2 linked regions of the Notamacropus eugenii genome follow. The main gene of each other region encodes a partner of the protein of the gene in region 2 in a complex. Links are inferred from orthologs where the notes say so. Each region holds a gene or a part of one and is shown on either strand. Other genes may lie near its edges. The genes, in order: CD40LG and CD40.

Region 1 (9,317 bases), on a different chromosome or scaffold from region 2:
GGCAGATTGGAATGAGCCCTGAATTTGGCTGGAGATCTGGGTTTGAATCCCGGCTTTGCCATGTATTAGCTGTGTGGGCAAGTCACTCAATCTTTTTTGGCCCTCAGTTTCCTCATTTGTAAAATGAGGGAGTTGGACTGTAATGGAAAGAGAAGTGGTTTTGGAGTTGGAGGAGCTGAGTTAAAATTCCCAGTTCTGCCATTTATTAGATAGGTGACCCTTGGGTAAGTCATTCAACTTCCATAAAACAAGAGATTGAACCAGGTGGCCCTGAAGGTCCTGCTCATCTCTAGCTCTTATGACCCACATAGACAATAAAATCAGTCATAGTTTACCTTAAGTTGCTTCTGAAAATAGGCTAGAATTTCCGGGCAGTTCAGGTAATTGGTGAAGTCTTTCTGGTTGCATTTCTGTAGCATCTGTAGCATAAAATAGCCCTCTTGCTGATGCATCTCCTTTTCTACCTGGTTGTGGAAGAGCAAAGATGTGAGCCCCATGAGGCTGAGAGTGCATCAGGCAATGATGCTTCAACACCCAGGCCCCCTATCCCCTCCCATGGTGCTTTGAAAGAAAAACGATTGGGGGGGGGGGGGGGGATGACATCTAAAACATGCCAAATAGTGAGTAATGGCACTGAATATCCAACTTTTTAAAAAAATGTAATTAATTTATCTGTTTTCAGTTTTCAACAATCACTTCCATAAGACTTCAGTTTTCTCCCCTTCCCTCTCCCCTCCCTTCCTGAGATGGCATACAATCTTATATGGGCTCTACACATACTGAATATCCAACTTTCAGGGAATTGGAGGTCTCTATTTCCTCACAAGCCAGAAGCAAAGTATCCTGGGATAACTGGCGCACTAGTGGGACCTAGGCAGAAATCACAACCTAACTAAAAACATGATACCCCCAAACCACAATCACAATAATTGTTATATTAAAATCACACTTTAGCATTTGACTATTTGAAAAAGTGTTATTTCATGTGCTTTGCTCACTGTTTAGCAAAGCTTGCGGGCTACGGGGTGCTACATCACATGTACTGGATTGATGTGTTGGGAAATGTTACTAAGAAACTTTTTTTCTTTTTTGACTCTTTGCTACAAAGGATAGCTCACTGGGTAGAAAAGGAAAGGGTGATAGATTAGTAAATGAAAATAATATAAAATAAAATATCATTAAAAATAAAAATTTTTTAAATAAAAATTTTTTAAACTTATTGCTCTTCAATTTACTTAGATTTTCATTCAGAAAGGACCTTAGAAGAGATCTAGTCCCAACCCCTTCATTTCACGGATGAGGAAACTGAGGTCCAGACAGGTTAAGAGATTTGGCTTTGGCTATCCAGCAAGGATAAGAGGCAGAACTTTAGACTCCAAGTCTAATCTTTTCTCCATCACCCCAGCTACCAACAACTTTGGAACTTGATAGAAACTTTTCATCCAAAAATATTGTCACAAGTCCTTGCAATTCATATGCCTCAGGAGATTTCAGTATGTGGAATTTAAGCTGTATAATCCCTTTACTGCAAACCATCGAGGCATTTTAAGACTATTTCATGAATTAGTCATTGTCAAAGACTCCATTCTTGTAGTCATCTTTTGGGTAATGAGTTTCTTTCTTTAGGTTTATCTAAGCTGGTCCTCAGGCAGTAGACAGAGCATATCACCAGGGCTGGACACCAGGCCCAGGGCTTCTCAGCTTGGTAAGACTTGCCAAAGCTTGTACTCCACTAGCAGTGCCTCCAAAGACCCAAGGGTCATCTGCATACCATGATGAGGCATCCAAGGAGAACACTGGCATTTTAGCTATGGGGTTAGACATGGGTGCTAAAGGAAAGCTGGGGCTACACAGGTAAGAGGGGTATTTCACCTCCAGAACCAGTCAAGTGACCAGACACTTGACTGACAAAGGCCAAACCCAAAGCTTCTCTGGCTCTCCTTGTTAACTGGCTATTGAGCCACCAGGATCCTGATCGTTGTATCTAATATTTCTAGGGTCTCCATTATGCCCGCTAGGCTATGGCAATGGCTAGCCTCACAGCCGTGGGGACGACAGATGGACAAATGAAGAATTCATCATTACCCACATGTTCGACTTGTATACTGGTAAAATCCAGATTCTTAGAAGCTTCCATATGAATAATTGTATGGATCATCCCTCTTTCATCGAAATGAGTGGCATCCTCTAGAGCGTGACTTTTTAAACTGTGGGTCATGGTCATACTGAAGGGGTCAAGAGTGGAAAAAATTTAAGAAGCCCTGCCCTAGATATTCCATGTCTCTTGTTAGTGAGAGTGTCTGTGGGAACAAAATGCATCTTCCCTGTTATAATTTTTTAAGAATTCAAATTGACCCGCTCTATTACCCAACTACTTTTGCGTTTCTGAACCTAAGTGTCGAAGGACATGGACCAACCTAAGACGGGCAATGGAGCTTAGTGGGGAGAATGCCGGCTTTTGAAATCAGGAGACCTTTGAGCTCTGTGAATCCCAATTGCACCATCTATAAAGGGGGGATAATCATTGTGGCACTGAGAGGAAGTTTAACCTACAGTGGTCCGATAGTTAGGAAGACTTGAATTCAAGCCCTCTTTATGACACATGCTAGCTGTGTGGCTGTAGGAAAGTTACTTGGCCTTTCAGAGCGCCCCAGGTAACTCTCTTAAGACAATAAATTGCAGAACAGTTGTTAATATGCGGCAGGGGACAACATTCCATGCAAACCATTCCTGATCTGGATGAAATTACAAGTCTAGCCAAAAAAAAAAAAAATCCTGACACTACTTATCTACCATGATTATTGGAAGGAAAGTTCTTTGTAAAGTTGGTTGTGCTACGGAAATCTAAGCTATTTTTCAGAGAAAAAAATCAATTTGCTACCTTATCACAAATGATTCTGCAAAGAATACCTTTTAATTAGTGACAGAATATTCTTGTCCTCTCATGTCTGTGCTAATTGAAAATAGGATGAAATATTCAATTGACACGAGCTTATCCATTGCTAATGAGCTCTTCTATTGTAAATTTCAATTAAAAAAATTCAAAAGTGACTTTTCATCACACGGAACTTTCTGAAAGAGCAAAAATCTGAAGGACAAGAAATCCTTGATGAGGTAACCAAATGTGTAGGGGAAGAATATCATCTCCCTCCAACTTCTCCTCTTTCCCCTCATTTGGGTAGAGTTTGAAGCCCAACGTTAAAACTCAAGATGTCAAGTCAAGAAAAACAAGCAACCCAATTTCATCAAGCCTTGCACTTAGTCTTACCTCATCCAGCCTTCTATGAAGGTAGACACCAAAAAACGCCGTCCCAATAGTCTGAGCAATTACAAAAAGGGTAAGTAAAAACATAAAGATTTTCATGGTGCCCACAGAGATGGTATTCCCAGCCGGGGGAGCAGGTGGGTTGTACGGTTCATTCATGCTTCGGGTGAGTTGAAATGCGATCTTCTGAGAGAGGAGCTTGCAGAAGCAGCATTAGAAGGCTGGTGTACTTGCTACCCTACTCAGGATTAGTTAAGAGCACACAATCATCACAGCCCACACTTCCTGGAAAATGTGCTTCGTGGTGTTCTCTCCCAGTAAAAAAGTTACGTAAAGGGTTGTTTTTTTTTTAATTGCACCCATATCGTTCACTTCCAGGCTTTCCCCCTTTGGGTGGCAAAGAAGAGACGAGTTGCTTCTTCCATCTATTCATTCCTGCCTTGAAACGTTCAAAACCTTAGTAGCCAATGGCAGTATTTTCCTATGGCAAGGCTTGATGGGTCTTGGTTTGCCCGTTTCCAGGAAAATGACAAAGACTGACTAGCTTCAATTTCGGTCTTACTAATGTGTCTCCAGTTTATGGAAAAGAAAATAGGCCTAGGAAAAAAAAGATTGGATTGATTTGACTATCAAGAATGGTCAGCTAATTGCTCCTCACACAGAATCAAGGCTGGTTAGGCTGGAGCTGTCCATCCCAAAGCAAGGCAGAAGACTAGCAATTCTCAGATTCATGTTGGTTTTGTACAGTTCAACACCACCACTACCCAATCCATAGGCCAAGAGAAAGAAGGACTTGAGGTAGTCATCCAAGAGAATTAGACCCAAACTTTGGGATTAAGGAGAATGGAGAAATTTTATTCTGACTTAGCCAAATTCATTATTCACCAGGAGCAAATCCATCAGATAATGACATCTTCACTTTCCATCAACTTTCGCTTGCTAGCAATCCAGAACAAGATCACCTGGTCTGGTCCTGGTTCCATTATTAACTTGACACATGACTTTATGTAAATCACCTTTCCTTTCCTCATCCAAGGAATGGGAACAATGAAAGCCTACCCTGCCCACCCCTCTAGCTCCTGATGAGACTCAAATAAGATAAAACATGTGAATGAACTTTGGATAAAATATTAAGTCCTCTACCAGGGTGGGGAACCCGCATGTGGCCCTAGGTTCTCAGGTTCAACTTTTTGACTGAGTCCAAGTTTTACGGAACAAATCCTTTCATTAGGGGGATTTGTTCGGTGAAGTTTGGATTCAGTTAAAGAGCTGCACCTGAGGCCCTAGAGGGCCACGTGTGACCTCAAAGTCACAGGCTCCCCACCCCTGTCCCATACCAACTCATGAGAGGCAGCATGGTATAGTAGGTAAAACTGGCCTAGGAACCAAGTCGATTTGGGTTGATGTCCTGCCTCTGACACTTATTGGCTGTGTGGCCCTGGGCAAATCACTTAACCTTGTAGTGTTCTAGACTCTAGACTAGACTCTCTAGGTCTCTTAAGTTGGAGAAAAGTCAATACTGACTTGCATTGGAAGAGGGAGTTTTCTCACGAGGGGATTTCCCTATGAAAATGAATTCCCTTGTCCAGGCCCTATTCTCTGTCCAGTCACTTGCTATAAGCTCCTCATTAGATTGGAAACTCCTTAAGTGCAGGCACTATTTCAATTTTTTTTGTCTTTGTAGGCCCAGCACTGTCACAGGACCTGGCACATAGTAGGCACTTTAATATGATTGTTGAATTTAATCGACTTGATCTGACGTTACTCCCATGAATCATCCGGATTTTCTCTAAGCATGACCTGAACTTGCCAAATAAGTGCTAACATTTCACTTCGTAGTGAGACAGACAACCCACTCCCGCACCCCACCCCCCCAAGCCCCAAAAGTATCAGCAGCAAATTACTTAGGTGTCAAGAAATCCACTTTTCTAAATGCTATTTGCATTTTCTTCCCACAAGGCATTCATGGTTAAAGAAACTCTTGAAATGTTCTGTGACAGGCAGCAAGTGTCAAGAGACTCATGTTTGGCCAGAGACCACAATGAAAAGTTTGTTTCTGTAATGAATTCCAAATTGTTTTGAAAGAAAACAATGTCAAATGCAGCAGTGATCAGATATGCACACCACCAGTAGACTCAGCATCAGCTCATCACCACCCACGCTCCAGCATCCTGTCCTCTGTGTGTGTGCGTGTGTGTGCAGCAAATCAGCTCCCAGGCAAATAGCACGATTTTTATCAGAGCTGGACATCTCCTTTCTTCCACAAGGTTGTTTAATTCCACTGAGGGAAGATGCTACATTATGAAATCTACTGGGCTAGACACTGGCTTCCCAGGCCCCTAGGTTTGAGAAGTCAGGATGTTATAATATTAACATTGGCTAGCATGACCAAAGGTCATAGCAGTGAAGAGGGGGAAAAGGAGAAAAGGACAGTGGGTCAGCCTAGGGGCTGAGGCTGGGTTTTTGTAAACCCGTGGAAAGAAACCTTGGGCAGCTTTATAAGGTGTCTCTGACAGCAATGGGAGAGGAAGGGTTTACTTGTCTTTGTGGCTGTCTTGTCATCTCTAATGCAAGGGATAAGGTGTTTTCTTTTTTGTTTCCTTTTCTTAGACTCCAGCCTTGAGCTACAGATTTTTCTTTCCCAGTCTGATGAGAATACTCCAGGAAGTTCTATAACTAGGGTAGGGCAACTGGAATTTTGTCCTAGGGCAAGGGAAATTTAGAGGGTGCTAAAAGCACTTGGAGTCCTTCAGCATCTAGAAACAACTGAGCCTAACACCTAGTTAACAGTAATGGTTAGTTCAATAAGGAAGCCATTAGATGATCCCTCCCTCTCTGGTGGCCAGTGGCCACACTCCAAGTGAATTGTCCAGTGTCTTGGGATCTCTTTGTTCCATGTACAAAAATGTCCAGTCCTAGCACTGATTCCAGGTCCTTTATCACCATCTGGCTCAGGCAAAAATCTTTTACTGTAGTGGGAGGGAGGAGTACAGTGGGAAGAGTGCTGACTTCAGGGTCAGAGGACCTGGGTTCCAATTCCACCTCTGATACTTACTATTTGTCCCACCTTGGGTAAGTCAACTAGCTTCTGTGGGCACCAGTTTCTTTATATGTAAAAACAAAAACAACAACAAAAAAACCCCAAAAGGATTGTATTAGATGGCCTTCCAGCTCTAGATCTGTGATCCCAAGAATTTGAGGGCACAAATTCTATATAGGTAGGTATTCAGCTTGGGGTATAAGACTGGTTATTACCACTTTAGTCTGCTTCACCCCCCAGGATCGCTGTCTTCTCCCTGGTCTGTGCAGAACCTCAATTCTTTCTTGTTGGACTTGGGGGCATAACCCTGCTTCCCATGGCTGCCAGAAGCCCAAGCTAGCTGCTTCTCTAGGTTCTACATCCAGACATCCTTCAAGACAAGCCACTCTAGCTTGGACCGTTGTCCATGAGGGACTATTCTCTTCACTGTCTCCCATTGACTAAGTTCTAACAGCCTTTTCAACAAAACGACAACAACTCATACCGGTCTTCTCCTTGATTAAACTCTTTGTCTTCTGTTCCTTCTTGGAGTCTCACTACCTACCAGGTTCTGCCTCCAACAACTCTTGGCTTGTTACCAAATCAGTGTCTTCAAAATTCACATTTGTCTTACCAGGCATTGAGCTAGGAATAAAGACAATTCATTCCTTGTTAGAAGTTTTCCCACTGTAGATGTGGTTGTCCTGGGACAAAGTCCTGATCACTCTCCTCTAGCTTTGGGAGGGAGACAGACAAAAGAACTCTTGACCTAAGAGTTTTGAGACTTGGGTAATTTTAGTCCCAGCTCTACTGAAAAGTTAGCCATTTTCACACCTGTAAAATGATGGATATTGGACTAAGTCTTTATCATAGTGGGGAAAGAGCTGAGGCTGGAGTCAAAGGAGCTGGATTCAAATTCTGCCTCTGCTACTTGCTATCTGCATGACCTTAGATAAGTCACTTACCTTTCTTGGGCCTCAATTTCCTCATCTATAAAAAAATCAGCGGCTTGGATTAGATGGGCCCTGAGATCCCTTCCAGCTCTGGAGCTGGAATACTATGGGCACCAAGATCTGATTCCAGATCTAATGTTCAATAATGATCATATTAACAAATACATATATAATGGATCTTGAGCTCAAATGGACCTAAGAGACCATCTAATCCATTCCCTTCATTTGGGGTCGTTACCCACAGTTTAAGAAGTGCTGAAGGAGTCTCTAGTGGAAAAAGTTTAAGAAGCCCTATGATGGATGACAAAACTGAGGCCCAGGGAAGGGAATTGATTGGCCCAGGGCCTCACCATAGGATCGATGATTTAGAGCTGGAAAGGATCTCAGAAGCCCTCTAGTTCATTTTAAAGAGAGGGGAGATAACTGAGGCCTAGAAAGGGTATGTGACTTGCTCTGGGTCACAGAACAGTCAGGTGGCATTTCTTCTGGAACTCCAAATCCAATCCTCTTTCTAGACTATGCCATGCTGCCTTGAAATATGGATATAGCTCCAGGCCTTAATGCTGGGCCTGGAGTCAGGAAGATGTAAGTTGAAATCTAGCCTCAGACACTTACTAGCTATATGACCCCGGGCAAGTCCCTTCACCTCTAAATGTCTCAGTTTCCTCATCTGTAAAATGGGGCTCATAATAGTATCTAGCTCCCAGGGTTGTTGTGAGGATCGAATGAGAAAGCAATTGTAAAGTGCTAAGCACAGTGCCTGGCATATAGTAAACATAATACAAATATTAGCTTTTCTCCTTATTATTATATAATGTGGAGATCTCTATTATACTTCCACAAATCAAAGGTGCAAGGGGAAGGAGGGACTGGCCACTCCTTGGAAGCACTCTCCTTCCTTCTAGTCCCCCCAGAATTCTCAGAGGACGTTCTTCTGCCATCTGCTGGCTGCCATCCTTTGCATGGCTCAAGACCTCTGACATGAATCAGCTCACACCTACAGATGTGAGCTATGACTATATTAGCACTTCCTTCCCCAGGCCGACCTCAATTCATTAAACTGGGGGCTGCTGGGTCCAGTCTGGGCTCCTGACTCAGCAAATGCAGCAAACTGTTCTCCACCATTGTTTACATGGACATAATAGATGTCTGGTGGAGGTGGGAGAGGAGAAATTTCTTTACAGAAAGGAAAAGGAGACAAGGATGGTTTAAAGTCTGTGATCAGAGCTTGAATCTGACTAGACTAGTCTTTCACTGCACCAATCACCCAGACAGTGCAGGGAGAAAGGCAGTCCCAGCTCTGCCACTGAGTCACCTTCCCTCCCTGGGCTTCAGCATCTTACTCTGTGAAGGGATGGGGTTGGACTAGACCAGGGCTTCTTAAACTTTTTTGAGACCCCTTTTTGTGTTTAAATAGCATTGGTTGGCATTACATAGCCTGAGGACACAGTGCACAGTACATATGCTTTATGTTCAGAACCAAGTGCTGCCAGAAACATCTCCGATTCATTACATGCTTGATTTTTATTTAATTTTTTGGTTGTTCCATCTTTGGAAACCTTTTACTGTTGCCAAATTTTCCGGGTTGCAACCCACAGTTTAAAAAACACTGGACTAGAGGATCTCAAAACTCCCTTTGAAGTCTACTAAAGCTAAGTTCCTGTGACCTTCAGTAAGGAAACGCTCCAATGGGGTTTGTCCCAAAGGAATGAAGAACACAAATGTTGGCGTGGTGTCCAAAAAGTCCTCCTATCCTACCCTACTTCCACATGACAAGAGCAAGAGAGAATCAATGGACAGTGAGTGGGCTTCAATGGTATCCTCAAGGGAGCCGTTTGTCAACATCCTTCCTAAGACATGGTATTTTGAACTGAGTGATACTCCCCAGATGGTCTGATCAGGGCAGAAGACAAGAAGATTCAGTTCAATAGACATCTATTAGTCATTCACTGTGTGCAGAGCACTGAGAGGGTTGCCAAGTTTGGGATAAGGTCGAGTCCCAGTTCTTCTGGTACCCACAGTCTAGCAGAGGGATAAGATTCCAACAGATGCTGAGAAGACACTAGATTATATGAGTGCC
Region 2 (9,213 bases):
ATTCAACTCCTTCATTTACAGAGGAGGAAACTGAGACTCAAAGAAGAAACTGAAGTCCAAAGAAATTCAGTAATTTGCCCAAGGTCACATAGATAATAAGTAGCAAAAGCAGAATGGGGACCCCTGTTTTCTAACCCTAAATCCAGTGCTCTTTATACTGTAACACAGGAGAATTACCACTAAAATAACAGGTCACAGTTACATAGGACTTTCACAGTTTGCAGTTTTGCAAAGCCCTTTAGTGCCAGTATTAGTATCTCTTTTATATAGATGAGCAAACTGAGGCTTGAAGTGTGGACATGATTTACTTAAGATCACATAGCTAGCAAGTTTTGCATCTGAGCCCAGAATCTGGGACTTTTGACTCCAAGTCTAGTGCTCTTCAGTCCAGTAACCAATATCATTAACTCCATCATAAAATAGAAGAGAAACCCATCTCCAGTGAACCTGTGACCAACCTATTACAAAATACTCTCAAGTGCACATGGCTAAAGAATTCTTCTCCCTATTTTGGGGAGCTCAGCCCTTGCCCAGTGGCAAAACTTGGAATGAGGGGTTAGTGAGCCTGACCCTACTACACTTCACTACCTTTCTACCAGCCTCTTCCCCCCATGTGGTCCCTTCCACAAAAGCTCTTTCTTCCACCTCTGGCTTCATCCTCCGTTCTCTATATCTCTATTTGCCCTCTTAACTTTTGTGCTCAGTGAAAATGAAAGTGAGGGAAGCAGAAGTGGCTTTCCCCTTCCTCTCCCATCAGGAACCCAACTCCTTCCCAGCAATCCTCCTAGGCTTGTTTATTCACTCTAGAGTTTTACAGTTCACTGACAACTCCCCCCTCCCCCCCAACTGAGTGAAATGGGGTGCGTAACAGGAGGGAAGTTATGGGGGGGGGACACAACACAGCAGACCAGGTACAAGGGGAATTCCCAACCTCCAAAATGAGGAACTATCCAAAAAACTGAGAGGGGCGTGGCTCTTTATAAATTCCCCAGTGATATGCTTGGGCAGTTCTGAGTTTCAGAGTGTGTGTGTGTGTGTGTGTGTGTGTGTGTGTGTGTGTGTGTGCGCGCACGCGCGCCAGAGAGAGAGAGACAGACAGAGAGAAAGACAGAGAGACAGAGAGAGAGACAGAGAAAGCTTCAGAGAGACACCATCATCCTGGGGCAGTACTGAAGTCCCCTCTGAGAGACAGTATGGTTGAGAGGAAGAAGCCTTTGCCTAATTCAATGTGGGCAAGTCACTTCATATCACTGAGCCCCAGTTTCCTCTTTTGTCAATTGCAACAGTTGAACTAAAACAGTCTCTAAGGTCCTTTCCAACTCTACCATTTCATAAAGCTTAGGTCCTTGTCATGGTGTGGTCTAAGAACTAGGAAATTCTGATGTTTTGTATTCTACAGGTCCTTCCAGTTCTGACATTATATGTTCATAGGATCAAAGATATTTGACATGGATTTTAGAAATAGATCTAGTCTAACCCCTTCATTCTTATGAAGAAATTGAGGGATAGAGGGGTGAAATGAATTGCTCAAGGTCACACAGGTTCTAAGAGACAGATCAGGGATTTGAACTTGGGTGTCTGATTCCAAATTTAATATCTCTTCCACTGATTTTGTACTTCCCTCTAAAATCCCTTCCAGTTCTGATATTCTCTATTCTACTGTTTCCAATTTTGGCATTCTGTTTTCTGAACCCCTTTCAAATCAAACATTCCAGGATTCTCAGTTCAAAAAACAATTCCCAATGATTTGTTTAATTTAATCCCCTGATGCCATCCCTCAAATTGTGTCCATTTCTTTGAGTTAGGGATCATAGGGTATTTCCCTGGGCATTTCCCCTGCGACCAGAGCAGGGGTCCTATAAAGATGTGGTAGCCTTGCCTGCTGTGTCTCCCCCTGCCCCTTCTCTAAGGAGTTTCAACTCTTCATCTATCCTTCCCTCTATCCCCAGAAAGAGCACAGAAGGGAAGCACTGATAAGATTCCCCCCACGTTATGGAGGATCCCATGACCATGTTACCAGATGCAACAGCATCCTGTAATATGAGCAAAGGGACAGGAAACTGGTCTTATTCCACCTCTTCCTATTCTATTCCATTTCCTTTCTGGCCTAGATACAACCTATCTGTAACCTCCTCAATTCTTTAGTCAGCCAGTCCCAGGGGTTTAAGCCAGAACACAGACTCCCAGGGCCTAGTTCTGTGCCAACTGAGAGGCTGTCTCCCCTCTTTCTCTTTGACGTGTCAGTGATAGAACTCACACAAAAACTCTGGACTGAACTGGACATAATACAAACTCAAGGAATGTGGGATGAATTGATTCAGCTCTACTAAGACACTGATTTCCTCAGACCCTTAAAGCTTTCTGCAAGGAGCAGACCATGGATAAATGACCTATTGTCTGGCAGTTAGTGGGGTGACCCACAGCTCACTCCCCATAAATAAGGAGAGTTGTCTTCTGCCACCAGGTCATTTCCCTTCCCCTACCCTCTCTCTCTCCCTTATGTTCAACTTTCAGCTTCTCCCCATCTTTCATTAGTTGATCTCAAGAAAGTAACTCAAATGTTCTGGTAAATGGTCTGGTGAAGGAGGAACCTCAGAGAGTCTATTATCCTCATTTCACAGAGGAAGAAACTGAGGCGTAAAGGGAGCACCTTTCAGGATCCCCTAGGATCCAGACTATGGCTAGATGGGTGAGCCCTCTCCAAAAAGCCCTGCTCTTCTTTCCATCTCATCCCAAGTTTTAGATCCCAGCCAGGCCTCCAGGGAAGGAGAAGGGGAATGAAGGGGTAGGAAATCAACTCACAGCGGTGAAAACGCAGGCCCCCAGCAGACAGAACAGGATCATGGCTGGACTGGATGAGAGCTCCAAGGCAGGTGAGAGTGACCCGTAGCCGGCGTTTTAATAATCCCGTACACACCACAGGGAAGCTCCACCCATAACATGGGCTGGCCACCTCGAGTCAATCGTTAATGATGTTGGCGGGAGAACTAGAAGCCCGGAGAGTCCCCTGGACGCACCTCAATTGAGTCTTTCCCGTGGATATTCTGGGCTAGGACAGTTTTCCGAGATCCAGTTGAGAAGACTCTTTTCCTAGCACCCTGAGCTTCTCTCCTCTTCCTTCCAACTCCTGTAGTGAAATCCCAGAGGGCAGGAAAGGCAGGAAAGAGGTATCCTGTCTGTACTCCAAGGATTATAAGAGCCCTGAATTGAGACTCGCCCGTGGGCCTGGAGACCCTCTGGTTAGGGGCGCAACCCTGCTCCACCCCCACCACGGTCCACCGAGCCGACAGAACTGAAAGTCTGTTCCCCCCCGCCCTCTGGGCTCTCTGCCAGCTTTTCTAGAGGAAGTCCCCTGGGAGAAATGCAGCTTGAGAGGAGAGCGGGGGTGTTGGCAAGGAAAGGAGTTTCCCAAGCTGAGTTTCTCTTTCATTCCTAAGGAAATTCCAGGCTAAATGAGGGACCTGGGAGGGTAGGGAGAAGCGCTTCTCTGTCCCAACTGTAAGACCGAAACTGACAGGAAGACCAACCATAGTTCATATTATTTCAGCAGCACTTAACAATCCTAGTGTCAAAGTTACTGCCATTTTACAAAACAGAGAACTTGACTCAGGAGTCCTCGGCGGGACTAGGCCTGATGCCAGATTTCCTGACTCCCACTTGCTCCTCAAAGAGAAAGGACTTGTCCTTGTGCCCTCACCTCCTAGCCTGATGCCTGACACACAGTAGGTAGTTAATACACACTTACTGAAAGATTCAGAAGCTATAAAGAATAGATTTCACCATTCTTTCTTCCTAGTATTATGAGTGTTTTAAGGGACTTTAAGGATTATGTAGTCACCACCTCCCCGTTCCAACTCCAGACTTTCTTTTAACAATCAAGAATATAGTCATTGTTTATATTTCTGTAGCAGAGAGCATGCAAAATGTATTTACCACCTTCATTTTAAGGGGAAAAAAATAGAAGCCCAGAAGGGAAGGAATTTTGCCTAAGATCAAGAAATCCAAGGCAGAACATCTCATTTGAAATCCAGTGATCTTTGCATTACACACAGGTTTACAAAATCTCTATTCCTCACCTCCCCAAATCTGTGGTTTCAAAATCTTGTAAAACCTTATTCCTCCTACAAGAATCCCCAAGTGAGAGTTAGAAAATCTGGGATCCAAGCCTGGTTCTGCTGGACTTCTGGTGACTTTAGACAAGCCCAAAAAGAGACTCCCGCCCACCCCATGTTCAGAGAAAGTGCCATTCAAAAACTGTCACACACAAATCATACACCGTCTCGTTAAACTTAAAAAAAATTGTACTCAAAATTCACAATTAAATTAATTTAAAATTCACAGTTAAATTAAACAAGATTAAATAAGCATCAAAGAAATAGGAGTAAACTTTACAATTACATTTCCATAAGTGTTTAGCATTTATATTTTTGAAGCTATTAAAGTTTAAAATTGTACTACAACTTCTGGGGACATGCTATGTGCATATGTGTGTATATGTGTACATATATACCTAGGTGCATCAATTATATATGGATGCAGAATAACTATGAGGTAATTGGGAGCATAGGCACCAGCAATAGTGGGAATCAGGAAAAGTCCCATGTAGGATGTTGTGCTTAGGTTGAGCTTTGAAAGGAATGAGGGATGCTAAGAGATGATGATAAGGAGAAAGGACATTCTGGGAATGAAGGAATGGCCTGTGAAAAGGTTCAGAGACTAGAGATGGAATGTTGTCATGAGACACATGAGAAGGTCCTGGGAGTTTGGACCAAGGAAGATGTGAAAGGAAGTAATATTTAATAAGCCTGGGAAAGGAAAGAGTTACAATACATGCTGTAAATGCCAAACAGGGGAATTTGTGTTTGGTCCTAGAAATTTCAAGGAACCAACAGAAGTTTATTGAACAGGGGGCTTGACATGATTGGAGACCTGTTTTAGTACTATTCAATTTGGCAGCTGTGTGGAGAAGAAAGAAACTAGAAAAAGGAAAACCAAATAGGAAGCTATAACAATAGTCCAGAAGAGAGGTAATAAGGCACTGGGCTAAGGCAGTAGTTATGTGAGTAGAGTGGAGATAAATGCCAGAGATGTTATAGAGGCAGAACCGACAGGACTTGCCACCTGACTGGATATGGGAGGTGATGGAGAATGAGGAGCTAAGCATGACTTAGAGAATGAGGCAGTTAGGTGGCTCTGTGAATAGAGCCCTGGGCTTAGAATCAGGAAGAATCTTTTTCCTGACTTCAAATACAGCCTCAGACGCTTCCTAGTTGTGTGACCCTGGGCAAGTCACTTAATCCTGTTTGTCTCAGTTTCCTCATTTGTAAAATGAGCTGGAGAAGGAAATGGCAAACCACTCTAGTGCCAATAAAATCCCAAAGGGCATCATAAAGAGTTGGACACAACAACAACAAAAGAGATTGAGAGTCTGGATAACTTGTAGGAACTTTGTACCTTTAAGAGGAAGAAGAAAGTTGGTAAGAGGGGATGGCCTTAGGGGGAGGGTAATCAAATCTGTTTGGGACATGTTGACTTTGATATGCCTCTGGGACATTCAGTTTGAAATATCCAAAGGCAGCTAGTTGGTGATTCAAGATGAGAGATACTAGGACTGGATATACAGATTTGGGAATCATCTGCAGAGAGATGATGATATACCCATTGGAGTTTATTTAAGTCACAAAAGAGAGTGTATAAAGAAAAAGTAAGGCCAGACAGAGTCTTGGGTTGCACCTACAGTTAGGAAGGGTAATAAGGGTGATGATGTAGCAAAGGAAATTGAAGAGGAACAATCAAAGAAGTAAGAGAGCCAAAGAAGAGCAATTAAAATAGATTCTTACTAGCTGTGTGACTCTTGGTGAGTTACTTAACATCTGTTTGCCCGAGTTTCCTCAACTGTAAAATGGGGGTAATAATAGTATTTGCCTTACAGAGATGAAGGATAAAATGAGATAATTTTTAAAAGTACTTAGCATAGTGCCTGATACACAGAAGTTTCCATATGATTGTTTATTGCCTTCCCCTTTCCTGGTGTCATGAAAACCCAGTGAGGAGAAAATATGCAGAAAGAGAGGGTGGTCAATAACATCAAATGCTGCAAAGAGATCAAGATGGATGAGGACTGAGACATTAGTCATGTTAGCAACTTTGTCCTCTTGTGAAAGAAGAAACAAAACTAAAGGGAAAAAACATGAAAAAAAACAAAGTGAAAATAGTCTGCTTCCATCTGCATTCAAACTCTATAGTTCTTTCTCTGGATGTGGAAGGCATTTTCCATCATGAGTCTTTTGGAATTGTCTTGGATTATTGTATTGCTGAGCAGAGCTAAGTCTATCATAACTTATCATCACACAACGTTGATGTTACTGGGTACAGTGTCTTTAGGTTCTGCTCAATTCACTCAGCATAAGTTCATGTAAGTCTTTCCAGGCTTTTTTTGGAATCAAACTGCTCATCATTTCCTATAGTACAAGAGTATTCCATTACAGTGAATAATACTTTTTTCAAAAAAGGCAGCATGGTCCTCTAAGAATATTTTAGGAGTGCTAAAGTCCAAGATGGAGCTGAATTTGTTGATGAATACTAAGAATAATTTTAAAAAGCTTTATTAGCTAAATTGGGGAGAAAGAAGACTCAGAAGCACTCAAGTTGGATGGAAAACTTATGATGGATGAGGGAATGAAAGCAGAAGTACTCATCTCTCTTATTTTGTGTCTGTTTCTTCTATCAAGGAAAATAGTTTTTCTACTGGAAAGGATGAAATGTAATTGGTTAATAGGATATTAAAGCTAAAGATAAATGAGGAAATAGTAAGAGAGTAGAGCCCTAGAGGAGTTAAGTCATAGGGGAAGAGCCCTCAAGAACTATATAAAAGAATAACTGAATAAATTAATGAAAAATCATTTAAGTGCTTTCTACATGCAAAGCACTGTGTTAAATGCTATTGATTCCAACAGAAAAACAGGACAATCCCTACTCTTAAGGAGTTCACATTCTAATAGAGAGAAATAGTACATATAGGAGAATTCAGCAGTAAGTCAGGTAGGAAAGCTTAGCGGTCTTTAGGGTACAACAGCAAAGCAGCTGGTGATGCCTCTTCTTTAATTTTATTTCCTCTGATAAAAATCAGACTTCTTTCTGATACTGAGTCATTTCATAATGCTAAGGACTTTGATGATGAGAGCTTTCTTAAAGTATTTCTTTCCTTTCTTCTTTCTTAAATAGCTATGACCAAAGAGGAGACAGGGCAGAAGCACCTGTGGAGGCCAGGTCCATCTTTAGAATGCTTGATCTCCTAGATGACAGCTGCAGGGGCTGGGTTAGAAGCAAGGCTGGCAGTGCTGCTATTCTCAGTCCTCTTGGTCTGTGGGTCTGCAATGTTCGTAGAATAGGAAGATCTTCCCTGCCCATTAATAGGCCTAACACATGGAGCCTGTGATCACATGGAATCTGTGGTTACATGGAGCTCAGACTGGGAGGAGCTTGCCCAAGAAGGAGAGAAAGAGCAAGCATGAGCAGAGAGTGAGAGCAGGCAGAGCAGAGAGAGAGAAGCAAGCTGTGAGTGGGCAGAGGGAGGAATTTGTCTAGGGGAACTTGTTTTTGTGGGGAGACCTGACAGAAAGAACGTTTAAGATGTCAGGGTAATCCCTGGATTAGTGATAAGTACCCTGTTAAATCTTACCTCTTGGTATTCTAATGATGTCCCAAATAAGTATTTTGGTTTTGCCTTCAAGGTAGAGAGTTATTTATATTTTGTGAATTTACCCTGGAAATACACATGCATATTCATAGAGGCTGCTATGGGTATTGCATTGGTATTATAGGATCTAGGGGGAATGGTAGTAATAGTTTGATTCACCCAAATGACACACCTTCCTATCTGTCCCCCAGGGGGCTTTATTGCTTCCACTAAGTAGCTTGCCTGCCCTATGGATTGCTTTTGGTCAGGATGACTGGGCCCTTCACCACATGAGTTGCTCCCATGAATGATGGCCTCAAGGATTGGACTGAAAGCACTGTCAGTGGTCTAGGAGTGGGAGAGGTTCTTCTCTTCCCAAAGCTCTTAGAATCAGGATTCTGGATTGTTTCTACTGGAATGTGAAAGAAAGTAGTAGACCAGATGGAGTTGGTGGTTTGACTTGCCTGGCAAGGCTCCTTCAGGAACTGCAAAATGTCACTGCTGCATCACTATCAGGAACCTTTGAGTGCCTGTAGGGAATAGGAAAGATGCCAGAATACTGGAGAAAGGTAGGTGTTCCAATTTTCACAAAAGGAAGTGAAAGGCTAGTGAATTTGGCTTTAATTCCTGACAACTTTAAAACATTTGTAACCTGAGTTGATTACCTGATCACTTAACTATTTGATTTATTTTGCCCAGGATGATGAGAATGATACAGAGAGAGGGGGACTGGCAGAGAGAGACTCATGATCACTCTTCTGCCCCCACCCCACCCTTATTGAAGTAAATGATAAGGTACACATACTTAAAATGGGCAGGACCAAATGGGTGAGATCTGGATGTCAGCAACCAAGACAGGCTGCCTTTCTCTTCTATCTGTGTCCCTCAAGATTCAGATTTCCTGATCACTATGTAGATTAGGGGATTGCCATTACACTGAGAAATATTAGGCCTCCATTAAATGATGGGAGGAACCTTGAGCAGTTATTGCTACATCCAGAATCTCAAGCTGCTTACTGAGGGTCCTGAATACCAGGGCTGCAGAGGCAATGCAGATCAATCTCAAATCCCCAAATTGGCTCCCATCAGGCTGGTGAGCTGGAGGAGAAGACTACCTCTCTCACCATCCTTCTCTTGATTTTCCCTCTACTCTAGAGAAGAGAACTTGGACACATCCCTCTTTTTATTTCCTGCCCATGATCCCCAGTGGTTTGGGAATTTCCCCAGCCACATCTGGTAGAGCTGAAGAACAAGTGGGAGATTTTGGGAAAGTACTGGAGGCAGATGACTACATGCAAGAGGTCTTAGACTACGTCCTTTCAGTTCTGCATTGTTCAGTAAATGATTTGATCATACGTTGAGTGCCTTAGTACTGTGACTGTGGGAAAGTCATAACCAGAGAAAGGAAAATACAGATACCGAGTAGGGGATCTAGAGCTGTTGATTTCATGTTGTTGATACATTGAACTCTATCCTTTCATCCCCAGATTCAATTAAAAAATCAATCAGTGGAGCTGCTTGAAATTGTGAGCTGT

Evidence for each region.
Region 1: the proteins of CD40 (region 2) and CD40LG are in contact, whole or in part, in a crystal structure (PDB 3QD6), measured with the Homo sapiens proteins. The link is inferred for Notamacropus eugenii from reciprocal best matches to the Homo sapiens genes CD40 and CD40LG. Residues at the interface, in NP_001241.1 of Homo sapiens: Glu64, Ser65, Glu66, His76, Cys77, Gln79, Tyr82, Asp84, Asn86, Leu87, Trp109, Cys119; in NP_000065.1 of Homo sapiens: Ile127, Glu129, Ala130, Lys143, Gly144, Tyr145, Tyr146, Cys178, Pro217, Cys218, Gln220, Ser245, Gln246, Ser248, His249, Gly250, Thr251, Gly252.

What each region holds. Positions count from the first base shown.
Region 1 is NC_092879.1:57,943,223-57,952,539, reverse strand, and holds the start of CD40LG (CD40 ligand), read right to left. Parts: upstream 3,531-9,317; 5' UTR 3,425-3,530; coding exon 3,269-3,424; intron 465-3,268; coding exon 336-464; intron 1-335. UniProt on the Homo sapiens protein: Cytokine that acts as a ligand to CD40/TNFRSF5. Costimulates T-cell proliferation and cytokine production.
Region 2 is NC_092872.1:475,711,120-475,720,332, reverse strand, and holds the start of CD40 (tumor necrosis factor receptor superfamily member 5), read right to left. Parts: upstream 3,454-9,213; 5' UTR 2,845-3,453; coding exon 2,803-2,844; intron 1-2,802.